Linked DNA regions of Drosophila melanogaster. The protein of the gene in region 3 purifies or fractionates together with the protein of the main gene of each other region. This does not show direct contact. Each region holds a gene or a part of one and is shown on either strand. Other genes may lie near its edges.

Evidence for each region.
Region 1: the proteins of Tti1 (region 3) and Wdr92 purify together in Drosophila melanogaster (affinity purification with mass spectrometry, with the first as the bait; one large-scale study listed by BioGRID). This does not show direct contact.
Region 2: the proteins of Tti1 (region 3) and CG18428 purify together in Drosophila melanogaster (affinity purification with mass spectrometry, with the first as the bait; one large-scale study listed by BioGRID). This does not show direct contact.
Region 4: the proteins of Tti1 (region 3) and spag purify together in Drosophila melanogaster (affinity purification with mass spectrometry, with the first as the bait; one large-scale study listed by BioGRID). This does not show direct contact.

The regions. Positions count from the first base shown.
Region 1 is NT_037436.4:17,906,166-17,910,188, reverse strand, and holds Wdr92 (WD repeat domain 92), read right to left. Parts: upstream 2,047-4,023; 5' UTR 1,936-2,046; coding exon 1,661-1,935; intron 1,605-1,660; coding exon 752-1,604; 3' UTR 506-751; downstream 1-505. Other genes in the region: CG5290 (uncharacterized protein), read left to right, coding at 1-440.
Region 2 is NT_033777.3:24,107,423-24,110,569, forward strand, and holds CG18428 (uncharacterized protein), read left to right. Parts: upstream 1-1,913; 5' UTR 1,914-1,973; coding exon 1,974-2,166; exon of another isoform or gene 2,167-2,233; coding exon 2,234-2,475; 3' UTR 2,476-2,588; downstream 2,589-3,147. Other genes in the region: eIF4EHP (eukaryotic translation initiation factor 4E homologous protein), read right to left, coding at 1,048-1,085; CG10694 (uncharacterized protein), read left to right, coding at 27-899; CG13605 (uncharacterized protein), read right to left, coding at 2,619-2,852, 2,911-3,126.
Region 3 is NT_033777.3:9,750,577-9,756,729, forward strand, and holds Tti1 (Telo2 interacting protein 1), read right to left. Parts: upstream 4,111-6,153; 5' UTR 4,006-4,110; coding exon 3,821-4,005; intron 3,763-3,820; coding exon 3,264-3,762; intron 3,205-3,263; coding exon 2,104-3,204; intron 2,055-2,103; coding exon 979-2,054; intron 922-978; coding exon 540-921; 3' UTR 512-539; downstream 1-511. Other genes in the region: Rpt3R (regulatory particle triple-A ATPase 3-related), read right to left, coding at 4,322-4,995, 5,044-5,587.
Region 4 is NT_033778.4:24,157,449-24,162,018, forward strand, and holds spag (spaghetti), read left to right. Parts: upstream 1-1,935; 5' UTR 1,936-2,022; coding exon 2,023-2,178; intron 2,179-2,231; coding exon 2,232-2,509; intron 2,510-2,568; coding exon 2,569-2,777; intron 2,778-2,839; coding exon 2,840-3,423; intron 3,424-3,480; coding exon 3,481-3,766; intron 3,767-3,830; coding exon 3,831-3,922; 3' UTR 3,923-4,055; downstream 4,056-4,570. Other genes in the region: speck, read left to right, coding at 1-100; CG42568 (uncharacterized protein), read right to left, coding at 333-665; DnaJ-60 (DnaJ-like-60), read right to left, coding at 914-1,082, 1,144-1,472, 1,526-1,637, 1,697-1,740.

The DNA.
Region 1 (4,023 bases), on a different chromosome or scaffold from region 3:
AAAGACTCATAAAGCTTCTGGGACAGCAGAGCATTCAACATGGTAACGAGCCTCTTGTGTGGGAACTGGCCGCCTTGGTGGCCCAAACGCCACTGAAGAAGGCCGAGAAACTGGTAAAATCGTATCGTGCGTACACACCGAAGCATTTGGGCTGGGAAACCAAGTCGGAGCACGCTTTAAAAGCCCTAGATCTTTGTTTAGAGGTCTGCGATCTCTCAGTGGCGGCCATCACAGAGCACATTCAAGAGGAAAGTGAGGTAATGATTACCTCTCAACTAAATTCAGCCAGACTGGCGGGAACATCTTGTCTGAATGCTTTGAAGAGAGCCATAAATGTGGATGTATCGGCAGAACAGACTGCAAAAGTGGAGCAGCTGGAAAAACGCATCGAAGACCTGACAAAAATTGTCCAGGAACGAATGAATGCGTCTCGATCTTAGTTATACACTATATAAGGTTTTATACTATTTTGTAATTGCAAAACAAATAAAAAGAGTCATTTTTTATTGTACATGAAATAGTTTATTGCTGATATATATTTGTAAGCTAGTTTTGATTTGTAATATAATTCAGCTCAAGCAGATTATCCAGTTTTTCTGATTTTAAAAGCTATTGCGCATTAAGGATTTATTGTCTAGCAATAGGTGCAATGAAAGTGTATTCATAAAAATATAAACCTATGAATTAACCCATCATCCAATATCACAAGTATGAAGCATTTCTTTAATGGGTTTCTTTTGATGTCCACCATCTAAAAAGTGTTTAGTTTGGTGGTAATTAAAACGCGCACGCTTTGATCGAATGCTCCACAGACGGCTAGGCCCAGTTTGTCTGGATGCCAGTCAAAGCAGTGAACCGGCTGAGAGCTCAAAGTGGCTGCACTAAGCATATTAAGGGCTCCAGCAACTCCCAACTTGTTTCCATCAGAGTCATCAATGACCCTCCTGTCGGGATACTCGTACTGCCACAGGCGAATGGAACCAGTTCCGCCGCCCGTGAGAAAGAGATCCCGATTCTGGGGCAGATGACGAACTACCCAAACGGTGGCTTTGGGTCCGCTGATCACGCCATTTGTTCCCACGCTGCGTCCGGCGTTGCGTTCCTCCACGTAACTAAATCCCTTGGTCGGATGTTGGGTTCTCATATCGAAGACAAGGAGACCGCCCTCCAAAGTGGTGACCGCTAGCTTGTTCATGGGAATGTCCCGGCGATCGAACTCCAGTCCACAGATACCATTCTTCATGGTGGCCTCCCAGCGTACGGAAAGGGATCGCAAATCGAATATCTTTAGATCTCCATTATCATAGCCGGCGGCAACGATGCGCTCCTCAGCGTTGTAGGTATTTCCAAAGGCCACGGCCCAGCAGTCCCGGCGGCCACTGCTGTTGTTAACGCCATCGCCCATTTGCGGCGGCGGCGACATGTCCACCACAGGAGCCTGCCCCTGGCGGATATCCCAGACTTTAACGGCGCCGTCACGACTTCCAGTAACGATTTCCGGAGCACCGCAATCGATTTGTGTGCCGCCAATCGCGTCGATGGTGTTGATGATGCCGTTGTGGGCCTTTACATTGTAGACCGGAAGGTCCGGCTGCTCCATATCCCTGCAAAGAACACATGTCAGAGAAGCATCTAATGACTTAAGCGGGATTATGCTTACAGAACTTGCAGCCTGCCCTCGAAATCTCCGATGGCCATGTGGCGGTTCCTGAGCGAAGCTGCTCCGAAGGTGCCGCATTTGAAGGCAACCTTCTTCTCTACGGACTTCACTTTCACCAGCTTATCCTGGTTGAGTTCGTAGATGTCCATGATTCCGTGCCCGTTGGCCTTGGAGCCCAGAATCACAAACTTGGCCGAAAGGGGCACCCATTTCGTATCGTACACCGTGTAGTTGAGTGCCTCGTGGAGGTGCTCAATAAGCTGGGGCTTGTCCATTTCAACGATCTATATTTCCGTCTCAACTTTATGCTAATATTCCAAAAGCGGCCGGTGAAAACTTAAGGATTTATCAAAAACAAGTTGTTTTGTTGTCATGGCTATCTCTTCCTCTTTTTCAGTGTAGCCGTACATGCAGCGCCTGAAATATACCAATCAGCTGACGGAAATATACCAAATCTAATTTTTAAATAGATAAATTATAACATATCCACTAAAATGCAATATTTAAAAAAATAATAACGCTTAACGTTTGTAAAAAGTATATCCCATTACTATAGTTCACATTTTGTACTCATATAATCAAATAATTTAAAATTTACGAAATAATGTGTGTGTACGATAGTTATGCCGATACATTAGAAGGCATCGGGAACAGCTGTTAATGGTGGTAAGCTTAAAAAGCTTTCGCCACTCTGTGAGTTGAATACTTTTTTCTTCAGTTTTACTGGGTCAGTCGGACGCTGTTTTGCTTCTGTCGCGGATTTTCCACATATTTAGTTTTTGGCGCGAGCATCTTTTTTTGGCGTTCGACCCCCCAATAGCAACAACAACAGCAACAGCAGCAACAACTTCATATATAACGACAAAGAAACACTTTTACGTGTGTCGCAAGCGACGCTTTTCTGCATTAAAAAAAAAACGATGAGATATTAAACGTGCGGGGTTAAATAAGCGAAAATAAATATTATTGAAATAACAAAGCGCAGCTTATAGCGTTGGCTATTAATTTGCGGGCCTTTTAGCCGGTTTTATATAAGTGATAATCGTTTTGGCAGAACAAAAACTCGCTAAAGAGTGCTCAAAGTTTAGCATATTTGCGATGCATGCGCCAGAAAAGTGTTAATCAATTTTTTATTGGCAACAAGTGATACAACAATAACAAAGGCGCTATCAAAAGTTGAAGGTGCCAACAAATCGACGGCAGTATAGACGACTACAAGAACAACAACTACAGCAACAGCTGTACTCGTTGGCAACCGAATTGAGTGCCAACTAAAAATTAATGTAGTTTCTCAAAGGTAAAAGCCACAAAGATTCTTCCATTCTCGGCATGTTTTCACATTCATTTGTATTGCCCAACATTTCCTTACTTCCGCCGTTGCCTTTCGATTTATCGTCAATTTTGGGGACAATCACGTTAATTGTGTACTTTTCAGCTTTTTCATTGGCTTTATTGTTTCTGTGTGCCCTCTCTGTTGTTTTCGGTGCACTTGCACTTGACACACACTCATAGTGTATAATATTTAGTATATAAGCGTTATAGTACATCATGTATATAGTACATATGTTTATGTCATTCTTCCGTTTTGGCGACTTTTTGCCAACCTGTCGCATCGCCCGTTCGGAATACCCTATACTTATTGGGATTTGTTGATAAGCCCACCACGCTGGGGAGAACAAATAGTGAATGGAAACTAATTGGTTTTTTGGTCTGAAAAAAAAAAAAAAGTAAATATTATGCAACACGTAAAGTGCACAATTATAAAGGCAATTATTTCTACAAAAATTCCCCTTAACAGTCGACTTGGTCTTTTTGTAAAAATTATTGGTTATGAATACAGAACCAGATTTAAATAAATCTATAATTATATTTTCTTTCTGACAAATATAAAATTCTAGCTTTATACTTTCCCACAACGAAGCGAATAAAACTTGTGAATTACTTATCAATCAATCGGTAATTTACACAGATTATTTTTATACATTATCACTTATACGTGAACTGTAAAGATTGCCAATAGTCGTTGCCTTGGGCTCAAGATTAAAACCCTCCACTTTCACACCTGTTTCTAATTTGGGATTAAAGTTTTCGCAGCTAATAGCACGCAATAGCTGCAATAATAATCTATAGTAATAAATAGGGAAACTGAGGGATTAATGATAGCACTCATATTGTGCCGGGAAATATTTCATATCACGCGCCTATATTTAACTTGCATATGAGGAAGTATACGCGCACATACAGAAACTTATATGTATGTGATTGAAATGTAGAATATTTAATATTTATTTTCACAACTAATGTGTTTTAAAAATCTCTATATTTTAAATAAAACCTTTCTCGAAATAAGCATTACAGCATCG
Region 2 (3,147 bases), about 14 Mb from region 3:
AAATTAAGTTTAACAAAACAAAAACGATGAAGCTGTCTATACGCATGCTGGACCAACGCACCATCACTTTGGAGATGAACGAATCGCAGGAGGTGAGGGCTCTGAAGCAGAAATTGGGCAATTTACCCGAAGTCGCCATGCCCGCGGAGAACCTTCAGCTGATATACAGTGGCCGCATTATGGAGGATGCCATGCCCCTCAGTGAATATCGTATAGCCGAGGACAAGATCATTGTGTTGATGGGTAAGAAGAAGGTTGATAAGAGCTCGCCAGAGGAGAAGGTTGCCCCGACACCACCGTTGGCCGCTGGCCCAAATGTTTTGCGCACAGAGGATGTGGTGCCTTCACTAGCTCCCAATGATCAGTGGGTGAGCGATCTCATGTCAATGGGATATGGCGAAGAGGAGGTACGCTCAGCCCTCCGGGCGAGCTTTAATCATCCGGAAAGGGCTATAGAGTATTTGATTAATGGGATTCCTCAGGAGGTTGTTTCAGAGCAGGGATTAGCTGCAATCCCGAGCGTACAGACAAGTGATCAATTGCAGCAATTAATGGCAGATCTTAACATTACACGGATGCGTGAGATGATTAATCAGAATCCAGAACTAATACACAGACTAATGAACAGACTGGCTGAAACCGATCCGGCTACCTTCGAAGTCTTTCAGCGTAACCAGGAGGAGTTAATGAACATGATTTCAGGCGGCGCAAGTCGCACCCCGAACGAGATTGAACATTTACAGATTACTTTAACCGCCGAAGAAACCGCCGCCGTAGGGCGTTTGGAGGCACTGGGTTTCGAACGTGTGATGGCCGTTCAGGCCTATCTGGCCTGCGACAAGGACGAGCAGCTGGCCGCAGAGGTACTAATACGCCAGTCAGAAGAGGATCGAGACTAATAAAGCGATTCGGAGCACGTAAATGCACCCAGAACATAACCTAACAATTTTCCAAGTAAAGATGGTGCTGGCCCAGTTTTGTTGCTGGCTGGGATTGTGGTTGTGTGTGGCAGGCGGTGCGCGTGGGTGGCGGAGGTGCTCCACTTACGTCTCGTACTGCTTGTTGGCTACTTTCTCCATGCTCATCCTGGCAATTATGATGCTGACTGGTAGCTGATACTGGTGCTCTCCTGCTGACTGCTTGGCTGTTCCTGTGGCGCTGTTCCAACCTCTGGAACGAGTACCTGTGGATCCGGGTGTTTGCACTACTAGATTCTTTATGCTGCTGCTTCTTCTGGCGCAATTCTTCTTTTGCTCCTTGGCTGCGCGTGTGTGTGTTGTGTGTGTGTGTGTGTGTGGGCAAATGGGTTTTTGGTGGATTCTCTTATGGGCGATTTTTTGGGGCAGCCGCTTTTTCGGGGAGCGGTTCGCTACGGGTCCGCCGCTCTCTCTGGTAAACAATCGTATTTCCTGTGCCTTATCCTTTCCGGTTATCAGTGGGTTTGCTTATTTTTTGGCCGTTTAGTTTTGGTTCGCTCGACTTTAGTTTGACGTTTCTTTTTGTACACAACACAACATGCGTCCGATTAAGTTCCACTTGCTATCCACATTCCACGCGGCGCTGTCAAAATCGACCAGTGCTGTAGGTCGAAGAAGAATTTTGACATTGGCCAGCACTGCACGTAGTGCAGTTACATACCCTACTGAAGTGGGTATATATGTTTCATTAATTTCATTAATTTTTCAACTCGAGTTAAATTGATTAATTTCCGTTGTTTGTTAGGGAAATTAAGTGACTCAAATACCAACATTTATTTCAACTCCAATAATTATAAAAATTTACTTTATAATGTAATCAATAATAAAATGAATAATTACATAAATAGTAAACATATATTCCAAAATATTTTTTAAGAATGCAGCAACACCGCTGACACAACATACCCCACATTTGGTTACAGGGTATCAGAGTATCGAATTTTTGCTGTCATTCTTCAAAAATCAGTTTGTTTACGTTCACCTGCAAGCCGCATAATGGGAAAAAGTGAGAAAAAATCAAAGAAAAAGCATAAGGAGAAGCGCAGGGAACACAAGGAAAAGCACAAGTCAAAGAAATCCAAGAAACACAACCGAAAAAAGGAAGAATCTCCGCCGATAGCTTCACCAACACCAATACAGCCTGAAAGGGTCAACCAGGAGGAGGAGGATGACTTTGCCATACCAATAGGTCCGTAAGAGCCCCCCTGTATATATTTATTATTGCTGAACACTCTAAACCCACCCCAAAACCCAAGCACTGATGAATAGCAAATCACATGCCCCGGAAACTCCAGAGGAATACCAGCGCCGTCAGAGCCAGATCCGCAAAGAGGTGGACCCGGTGACGGGTCGCGTCCGGCTCATCAAAGGCGACAGTGAGGTGCTGGAAGAGATTGTGACCAAAGAGCGCCACCTGGAGATCAACAAGAAGGCCACCCGCGGTGATGGAGAGTTCTACGAAGCCAGATCTCTGGACGCCGCCAAGCGTCGCAAATAGCTAATTTACCAAAAATGCAAAAATATAATAAGCTATTTCATGACTTGTAGTAATAATTAATAACTGTCAGTTTAATTAAACAAAGGGCTAGCTAGCGACTATATGTACACGCGAAATCCGTGGAAATTTCTTTGGTGGCGCAGCTAGTACAACTGATGGAAGAAGGTAGTGCTGCCGTCCTGCCAGGCGGGATCATCGCTAACCTTCGCCCTGCACATCGGACAGGTCTGTTCGCGCTTGAACCAGGTCTGGACGCACTCATCACAGAAAATGTGGCCGCACTCCAACACAGTGGGTGTGTTGAAGGCGTCATGGCAGATTGGACACAGGGCACCCGCAGCATCCAGCTCGTCTTTGGTCGGCGGCCGCTCAGAGTCCTTGAATAAATGTGTATTAGAAATGTGTACATAACAATCAAGTCTCAGGCATTCATACAATATTTTTTCTGAAGGTCACAATGGCTTTCTTTAGCGACTTGCCGCGCTCCACCAGCTCAAATATCTTGGCACCCAGGTACATTGCGGAAAAGAGTCCTCCGGAAACCACCTCCAGGCCGGAGTAGGACTCGTATAGAAATAGGAGCCACTGGGTAATGGGTGTCATTGCCCGGTAGAACTGCGAAATGTACTCCACCAACACATAAAGCCTAGCCTGAAATGCGAAATCAATGTA
Region 3 (6,153 bases):
TCAAGATCACAAATACAGAACAGCAATCATTTTATAAATTCAGCTATATTTGATACAGAACGAAATGTTATAGTGTATTGTGGCTTTAGAAGTCGGATGCTAAGTTTTATCGGTGCCAAGCATCTGGGGTTCCACTTGTAAGTAAAAATTGAAAGAAAATGTTTGTTTATGCATAGCATTTAGTTATGGCTACCAAAACATAATATACGATTACATATATACAATTTTTCATCAATTTTGTTTGTTCCGAACGCTTTATTTGTGTATAAAACCCCAGTTTTGTTCAAAAACCTTGCCTTGTTTATATTTTATAAAAGTCATTTCAATAAAACTATTCAAGTTAGATACCTCAATAATAATCCCATACATTTTTTTAATCCAATAACTATTGCCTACTCTCCGGGCACAAACAAAACAGTTCTGATCAAAATATTCGAAACTGCATTAAAAGACACCTAGCTTAAGAGCCTGTAATGTTAATCGAGTGAACAGAAATCAGAATAGAGCAATTGTGAAATAAAAAATCGGTCCGTTCTTTATTAACCAAGATCTCGTCCACTAGCTATGCTAAAGCCCATGACCTCGAAGATCTGGTTAACATTAGCCTGATAATCCTGAAGATGGGCCCGCTGCAACAGCGTAACGTATACGAAGGGTCCATTGTAAGAAATAAGCTGGAGGAAGAACGCTCTGGCCGGCGTCTGTAGCTCTTGCGGCTGTATTTGTGATAGGTATATTACCACCGTGCTCATGATCTCGTGCAGATGTCTTCCCTCTATCTGAAGACCGAGTATAAAGTCCGCGAGGCTCTTCAGCAGCTTAAGCTGCAGTTTGTACTCCTGAGTCTGCGCTTGCGAGGTCTCCGTGCTGCTGTGCAGGGATGCTGTCTTCAGGAACTGCTTTAACTGGGGTATCACATCACTGAAAAGCACAAGGATAGGGTAAAAAGATCTAGTTATCCTCGAAACAGTGACTTACCTAAGGCTGCGTTTAAGTATAAAGTCCTTGGCATGAACGCCTAGCAAGTGCAGCAGGGTGAAGCATCGGTTTAGCACCAATGCGTCCTTTTGGCGGAATTTTTCGATCAGAGGTTGCCACACTAGATGCACTAATGGCAGCAGCTCGTCCTCGTAGTCCGCCAGTAATGGCAGACCACTGGAGAAACATTCCAAAGCTGCAATCTGCTGCCCCTGATCGGCGGTGGAAATGAACTTGATTACTTGACCTAGTATATCCTTAACCATTTCCACGTGGCGCGGAAGCACGGGCTTCGTGGGTTTCTCTTCCGTGTCATCCGCATCGTCGGCTTCATCCTTTGCCGGCTCCTCGGCGTCGCCCATGTTGGTGTCGCCATTCAGATCTTTCAATAACTTTGGCCTCTCCAGCACACTCATCCACGTGCTTAGGACATTCTGCTCCTCATCCACTTGCATCGGCAGCTCGGTATCAACCTCCGCCGCAGCATCATCATGCCAATCGGAAACATGATTCAGGAATGATTTGAAGACGCGAAGATAAGAGTGCACGTTGGTTGTCTGGTGTGATTTGGAGCACTCTTCGCGTATAGTTTGGAATAAGCTGTCCAGGTGGGGCACATTGCCGCGTGTGCTGTACTGCAACACGACGGTGAGGATGTCCACGGCGGCCGTGCTATCTGGCGATCGTTTTAGCAACGCGTTTAGGTGAAAAGTGATGTAGTCGGTGGAGCATTCGATAAAATGTGAGGGCTCCGCATATTTAAGAGCGTACTGCATGGAAACGAAGGCGAAACTGGCCGCTTGATGGACGATAGTGTTACTGCTAGCCACCTTGAGAAGCACTTTGTGTAGACTTAAAAATATATGCCTGTCGAAGGTATCACCAATAAATCTGGCACAGTGACCCACTGCATCCAAAATTAGGCAGGTGTGCAGAACATTAAACTGGGCGTCTGCAATGGTCACCCGACTACCGACCACCTCCGTCTGCTCGTCATCAGAATCGCAGTCCTGGGTGCGTACCTCAATCGCCGATGAATAGATGCCAGGAGTACGGTCCTCAAACCAATGCGTGGGCTAAAAAAAATTATAGTACACATTGTACACATATAAAATCCATTCTCACCTTGTTGACCTTAAGGCGCCACGCCGAGTCCGGCTGAAGGGCCAGGTTCCAATGCTCGTCTCGAAGGATCTGGTCCAAGAAAAGTTTAGCCAGCACCAGTCGACTTCCCCGCGCCTTCTTCTCCTGCGGCGTTACCATCAGTGTTAGAAGCAGCACACACTCGTTCATGGATGGTGACCTTTGCTGAATCATCTCCTGACAGTAATCAAATACAAGTCGATTTATTGTTGGCTCAGTACCCAACAGGGCTCCAATGTCATATAGGATATCAACTGTACGCCTTGAGCTTAGATACTTGAACTGCCTCCAAGGCAGTTTGGCCAGTTCGGCGGCCAGACCTTTGGAATCACCTTCTCGAATACGTCGAAGTGAGTATTCCTCGTTGAGAAGGTCCCTGGTTGGCCGTTGATCTAGTGCTGTCAACAGACAAGTGACGAACATCTCCAGATTTTTGGGAACTAGCAGCAATAGCTGCAATTTATCGGTGTTGACGTTGCGTAGGAATCCTTTGAAGAACAGAAGCTCGGCAAACTGTTCGTTGTCCTCGCAGCGATGCAGTATGCGTGGCCATTTATTGAGGTGTGCATCTAGCAGCATCTCCGCATTCTCATCGAATATGTCTTGGCTGCTGGCCTGTTGTTGCAGCAGAAGTAGGGTGTCCCTGCACCGCTGGGCTATCTTCTCATTCTCGTCCTCTGACAGAGCCAATACGCTCTCTAGTACATGGAGAAAGTTTCCCCTCAGATTGTAAGCACAATGTTTTAGCAACAGGCAACACATATCGGAGTAGGATTCCCTTACCCGTATTGCGCTGTGAGTCCGTAGAATACTCATTTCGGCAAATATTGGTCGAAGGTGCCTCGAAGTGGCGGCCACCCACTGATGCGAACGAAGCTCCGTTTGCATTTGATGCAATCGCTCCTCATTCTGTTCTGTAGTAGCCTTCTTGCTGGCAAAAAAGGTGAAATCGCATTGATGAGCCTCTTCGTTGTTTTTGAACAGTTTGCGGAAGGCATCTCCATCGTAGCGCATTTTTATAAACTCATTAGTGGTCTCCTCAAACATTATGCAAATAATGCGTCCCAGCGCTTGAATTGCCATCTAATTATAATATTTAAATCAATATAAATGAAGTTATACAAAACCATCGAAAAACTCACCGATTTTATAGTCTCTCCCACCTTGTCATCTTTCATTGATGTTTTGAACAGCACGATGAGTACCTTGGGAAGGAATATAAATATGGTATTGGCTACCTGACTACGCAGGACAACATCCACTTGATCGGATTCGTCATGGACATAGAAAACCATCATCAGACACTGAATGGCTGTCTGTACGAGTTTTCGATACTTTTCCTGTTCGATGATTTCCAAGAGCATGATCAGTATCTGGCCAATAACCATCGCAGTCTCCTTAACGTAGAAAGATTCCACCACATCAGTGGTGGAGCGACGAAGTGCCTCGAATATACACTGAACGGCTGCCAGTTTGATTTCCTCGGAAAGGTTTGGTCGCATGGACGCTGTCTTGGAGTCGCGTACCTGTTGCAGCACCACCACCAGGATGGAACGCAGACCCTTCTCATCGGCCAGGTATGTTTTGGAGACAATGTTGCTTAAGCAGTTCATCAGGCTGGTGCGAAGTTCCTGGTTTTCTCTGCGGAAGAGACAGTCTTCTCTGAAGTCGAAAACCCAAGCGGAGCGGAGCCACTTACCCGGTTAGCTCATCCAGTTTGACCACCAGTGGCACCACCGTTTGCACCTGGTAAATGCGCATTTCTCCAAAGTTGAATCCCTCGATTGCGCGCTCCACCACCGACAACGTGTCCTTGCTGGGCTCCTTGATGAAGCCTTCCACCGCTGGCTTTATCTTCGTCACATACCACTCTAGATGCATCATCGTGGCAGCAGTATTCACTAACCAAATAAACCCAAAGCGAAACCCGGCAAAATCCGGGAAGAAGTTTTGAACCAACAGCTGTTCCGACAGTCACATGCAAACGCGCGCGTTTTCACCCCCGCCACCCACAATCGCTATCGAAGTCTATCGGTTATTTTGAATTGCGCGCCAAGCCGCCCTTAATTTTGATTTTCTTTTATTTAAAGCACCAGTATTGACTAATATATTTCGAAGTTTCAGGATTTTGGTAAACTCGGGATTGGCTTTGTTAAATACTACAAGTTTACATATTCAGATTGTATTTGAAATTAATCATCTAGCTATAGAACTCATGCTGAGCTTCGTCCTTGCGCACGCTGGTCTTATAACCCTTTTCGAAGTCCTTGGCATTGACCACATAGCGATTCTCGCGCACTGCATGCATACCAGCCTCTTGGCAAATGGCATTGATATCCGCATTGGAGATCTTGTCCGGACGTGCAATGATGTCCTCCAGATCCACATCCTCACCCACATTCATTTTCGAGGTGATTGTGGTGAAAACTAAGCGCTTCTGGCGACGATCCGGCAATGGTAACTCAATTTTCCGATCCAAACGGCCGGGTCGTAACAGAGCCGGATCTAAGGTATCTGCACGATTGGTGGCCATGATAACCTTAATGTTGGTGGTCTCATCAAAGCCATCCATTTGGTTGAGTAGCTCCAGCAGGATGCGCTGCACCTCGCGATCAGCACCTGTCTGTGCATCAAAGCGCTTGGTGGCAATCGCATCGATCTCATCAATGAAGATAATTGAAGGAGAATTCTGCTTGGCCAGGCGGAAAAGATCTCGCACCATGCGTGGCCCCTCGCCTAGGTATTTCTGGACGAACTCGGAGCCCACGACACGAATAAATGATGCAGTTGTATGATGGGCCACCGCCTTGGCCAGCATGGTTTTGCCACATCCAGGTGGTCCAAAAAGGAGGACGCCGCGTGGGGGATCGATGCCTGGAAGAGAATTAGTGGAAATAGTCTTTTGATATTGCGAATACCCACCAATTTGCTTGTAAAGCTGGGCGTGGGTCAAGGGCAGCTCGACAGCCTCGCGTATCTCCTGTTTCTGGATGTCCAAGCCTCCAATGTCGGAGTAGCTGATATCCGGTTTCTCATCCGGCGATAGCATCGATATGGTGCTGTCCGCCTCCGGTGGCACCAGATCGACCAGACAATTGCTTTGCTTGTGCAGCCCAACCGAAGAGGACGGCTTCAGTTGCTCCCTGTCAATGGTGGATAGCACTCGAACATAGTAATTGGATCCGGTGGTGGAGGCCACTATGCCGTTGTTTTCATCCACCGCCTCCAGAAACTGGCCAATGACCAGAGGCACGGCTTTTATGCGCTTAACTTCCTCCTGAGCGTGTATGAACTCCTTCTTCAGATTGCGTTGCTCCTCCTTGATATAATCCTCCTGCACCTGGATGAGCTCCAGCTCCATCTGAAGCTTCTTATATAGTACATACAGATCATGCGGATCCAGTCCATCATACTTCTCCAGCGACTGCTCGTGAAACTGGGCAATTTCCTCCTTTAACAAACGCATTTTCGTCTTATCCCTGTGGAGATTCGATTCGAAGTGAAAGGCAATGACACGAATTTTCAAAGGCTAAAGCAGGTTATCGTAAAAAAAATATCGATAACTGTTAACAGGATAAGAATGGCAATACTAAAAAAGCTTCAATACATGAGCGTAACCAGAAACAATTATTTAATACTTATTGAATGCGAAGTTATGATATATTGTATTTTCAAACTATGTTGATTAAGCCCGATCGATATATAAAAATTATACAATTTCTAAAATGATTTTTAACGCTCCTTCGAAACTTTTCGCGTCGCCACGTGAATGGCAATCAGCTGTTGAACCGACCTGTTGTTTTTCTTGGATTTGTTTTTGTTGTGCTTGCTTTTCTGCCTCCGACGTGGAGCGATCTATTTATATATCTATTTTGGTTTATTTTGGAACCACAAATTCTCTTCGGCATAGGAAAAATATATATGCCTAGGCATTGACACTTTTTGTGAGACATTCAAACACTTAGTCAAAGAAAGGTGGCTAGATATCGACATTGTGCAACGCCGGCTTCGATTGGGAAATCTTCGTCAGAT
Region 4 (4,570 bases), on a different chromosome or scaffold from region 3:
TCAGGGAGAGGTGGTCTTCAAGCCGGCGGCCCCGCACGTGGGCATACAGGTGATGGCCAAGGAAGTGGGTCCCGCGAAGGCGGCGCAGACCAAGCTGTAGACGATCTGAGTTCGGATTTTGTACTATCGTATGTGATTCTTTAGTTTGTAGTTCGGTGGCGGGTTCCCAGTAGTGTATCAACGTTCGATTCAGCGTAGTGTAAACAAACAGTACAAGTTACGTATTTATCTAATTTAATCTTCCCGTCGCGACGGTAAACTTAAGTGTTTTGTGTTTAGAACGAGCTCAAAATAAAACCTTGTCTTAATAACATAACCGACTGGACAACAACTTAGCCCCTGCTGGCACGGCGGGAGTTCGACTTCCTGTTCTTGCCGGAGCGCTTGGCCTGGCTCCGTTTGGCCTGGGTCTTCTTGGCGTTCAGTTTCCGGTTGCTCCTGGTCCTGGAACTACGGCTGGTGCTGCTGGCGGTGGTGGTGCCCACACGGATCTTCCTCACAATCGAGTACGTCAAGTTGGACAGGTACACTTTCTTGGGCGTGCTGGACGAGCTGTAGGTGGGACTGGTGGAAGTGGAGGAGGAGTTCTGTGAACTGGAGAAGTCCAGGCAGCAGATCACGAGCACCACGATGCACAGGGTGCCGATTTGAATAGTTGACTTCATGTTGGTAGTAGGATTGCTTTTAATATGCTTCGATGGATGCGGCCGGAGTGCTTAAGTAGTCGCCCTGGTTGTTTGCACAGTTTGCTCAATCGCCTACGAAGGCCGACGAAATTGTTTAATTTTGGCAAAACACACTGGCGCTTAAGCAATCGCTCTTGAGTTTGCTTTGCCTTGAACCAAAACAAAATATTCAAAAATAGCTATATGCTTTCACGTTTAATTTGACCAAAGGAAATGGGGAAATGGGATTACTTAGCCGAAGACTGGTTGAAAGGACTCCGCGACATACGGTCCACCATACGACGCACTTGCTCCTCGTTGCCGTACTTCTGGGCATCGGCCACAACGGCGGCATGATGGGAATTAGCCTCTGCTGAGATTTCGTCCTGGATCTGGCGACTCAGTTTAAAGGACGACCTGTTGGGGATGGTGAAAGTTCAGTGTGACTACTTAAATTCTCTGGTTCATAATCATTAACCTGACGGAGGTGAAGCCAAAGAGTGCCCCGACGAAGCCTAGGGCCATCAGAACCACGGCCACCTGCCAGTTGGAGACCCTCTTCAGACCACGGATGCCATAGTACGGTCCTGGATTGGGATCGTAGTTGGGCCTCACATCCCACGCCTGGCCGGGATTGACCGTCTCGCCAACGGGACTGCGGTCCGAGCGCGATGGCTGCCACAGCAGGCTGTCATCGTAGTCTCTCCTCCGCTCCGGCTTTATCAGGGTCTTGTACGCCTCGGAGATCTGAACAAATCGGGCTGTGCGCTCCGGACACGCAGCATTGCTCTTAACATCTGGGTGGTACTGTGGAAAGGGCAGGGTTTAGGAGGCTCCTTTGGAATCTTGGAGTTACTTACCAATTTGGAGAGCTGGACAAAGGCATTACGGACTTCACGGGTGCTGCAATCATTGCGAATATTCAAAACTTCATAGTGTGTTTCGGGTTTTCTTGGTTTGTCGTTCGAGAAACTGCGCAATAGGCAAACATTTACTTTACATAACAAGTTTTATAGACGTAAAGTCCTTACTTACGCACATATCCAGCTCGAGTTGGAAGGCACAACCTTAGCATTGTGAGCTTTATTAGTATTATTTGTGCTGATCTGTCGGAGAAAGCATAATTTTAAACTAGGACTTTCAAAATAAAATCAAAACACAAAACAGCTGATTTGAGGGCCTTACTCTGGCAATCCTGGCTGGCCAGCTACAAAAATAGAGTTGGCAGCTCTGTTCGATGAAACAGCAACTCAGTTGAACTATCGACAGCGAGCAGTGCTGCCAGACTGTCGGAGCGCTAGCAACAGAAATAACAAACATTTAATATTTCTTTAGCCACTTGACAAGGCAAATCAATATGAGTGCACAGGAAAAAGCCTTCGAACTGCAGCGCCAGGTGCGCCAGAACGCGCGGGAGTACGAGAACTCCGTGAAGGACTTGTACTCCTGGGAGCAAGACATTAAAAACAAGGAGAAAGAGCTCCAGAAGTCGCCGCTTTCTGCCGCCAATAAGGTTAGCTTTAAATTCTTTGGTATTAACAAGTAAAGCTCACACTTTCAATGCAGGATCTGCCAGTGCGCAGTCATGTCCAGACAGACAAGTCGCGGAAGGAGAGCCCATCCTCCTCGGCGGCCAGCTCACCCACGGAGAAACAGGACTTGCCAGTGGATCCTGTGGCCCAGCAGTACAAGAAGGCCAACGACATCAAGGACCGTGGAAACACCTATGTCAAGCAGGGGGAGTACGAGAAGGCCATCGTGGCCTACTCCACTGCCATTGCCGTCTATCCCCACGATCCCATTTACCACATTAACCGGGCACTGTGCTACCTAAAACAGGAGAGGTAGGACTGTTTAGAATGTTCTCGATACTTCTTCCTTACATGCATATTTATCCTTGCAGCTTTGATCAATGCGTGGAGGACTGCGAGGCCGCCATTGCGCTGGATAAGCTCTGCGTGAAAGCTTACTACCGGCGAATGCAGGCCAACGAGTCCCTGGGCAACAACATGGAAGCCCTGAAGGATTGCACCACTGTGCTGGCCATCGAGCCGAAGAACATCGAGGCCAAGAGGAGCCTGGCCAGAATCAACGACCGTCTGCGCAAGATTGGTAAATATAATTTTGATTACCTAGTAAGCATATTTTAAGGCTTTTCATTGGCATCCTTACAGCCACCAAAAGTGGGCCAAACTTTACACCCGATCGTCCTGGCATGATTGAGATCTTGCCAATCGAGAAGCCTGCTTATAAACGCTCCAAGAAGGCAATGCGCAGTGTTCCCGTTGTAGACGTGGTATCTCCTCGTGCTACCATCGATGATAGCAACCAACTACGCATTTCGGATGAGGACATAGATAAGATATTTAATAGTAACTGCGGCATAATCGAAGAGGTCAAAAAAACAAATCCAAAGCCGACGCCAATGCCAGACACATCAGGTCCACCCAAAGCTGAGACCATTGCTAAGACCTCCAAAGAAGTCAAGCCTACCAAACAGACTGCGGTTAAAGTAGCTCCAGCTGTGGAAACCCCCAAAGAAACAGAAACACGCAAGGATACCAAGATTGTGCCTGAATCCGATAATGAGGCCAAGCCAAGTGCACCCAAAAAAACGGCTGTCGAGGTCCCCAAGGTTCAGACTCAAGTTTCTCCACCAAAGACCACAATAGAACGCAGCCCAGAAGTCAATACCGTGCAAACTGAAAAAATTGAACAAGCTTCGAGCAACAACGCAATGTCACCCAGTCCAATAGAGGTAGGTTCGCTTAAGATCAAAGCTGAATTATTATTAAACCAATTCTCTATGATTTAGCGCTTCTTACCGCCCGCACCCACGAGCACAGCACAGTTCCATGTGACCTGGAAGGAGCTGAGTGGTCCGCAGAAGTACCAATACCTAAAGTCCATTGAAGTCCCGAATCTGTGTAAGATCCTGGGAGCAGGCTTCGATTCGGACACGTTTGCCGACCTGCTGCGCACCATCCACGACTTCTTTGTACCAAATAAGGAGCCAAACACAGCAGCTGTCTTGCTGGAGATCAGCAAAAATGACGAATTCACCATTTTGGCCATGCTCATGTCCGCAGAGGAGAAGAAAAGTAGGTGACAAAACTTTTCTTGCATAATTTCGTTTGCATTTCATGTACTTTCCCCTTTTCACAGTGGTTTCGTCTATCCTCAACGCCATCAAGAACTGGCCCAGCAAGAATCCGGCTGTGCTGGACAACCTTTTCAAGGAATACGGAGTAGCCTAAACACCCAATGTTTTATGTTAAAATGTACTTATGTTGCTTCAAATTGTTAGCTCCAAAATCAACTAAAACAACAAAAATGTTTAAAATATAAAGAGGATTTGTAGATAGGATCCCAAAACGTTACACAGAATGCGAATGATTGAATGTGTTTTGTTCAGCGTTTATTAGATACGCTAAGATGCTCACTAGTTACACATGCTGGGAATATCTCAAAGTGACTCATGTTTTTTAGCCTAGTATAAGCCGAAAATTCCATATGCAGAAGACCATTTGAGCAAACAAACCGTTCTTGCCCGACCAGACCATGAATATTGAATAACCAATTGAGTAATACGAATTAGTGTAATTTACATAAATCAGCGCATTAATTCAATCTGCGAAGCCACCTAAAATGGGCCTTCCAGCAAGAACAACAACTCCATTAAGCGACGTTAAGTTGGAAGCGCTGATGATCAGTCGGCTTATCCGATCCGTGCACATATCATTACAGCGAAACCACAGCCAGGAGCACCAGGAGGGGCCCCCAAAGCAGGAGGGGCATCTCGCCGAGAACCGCGCACCACCGAGGCACCCGGGCGGCCCACTAATTGCGTGAGAGCTGGTGCACTAAGCACAGGGGCCGGGTTTTACTTTAGCCCATTGTGCCGC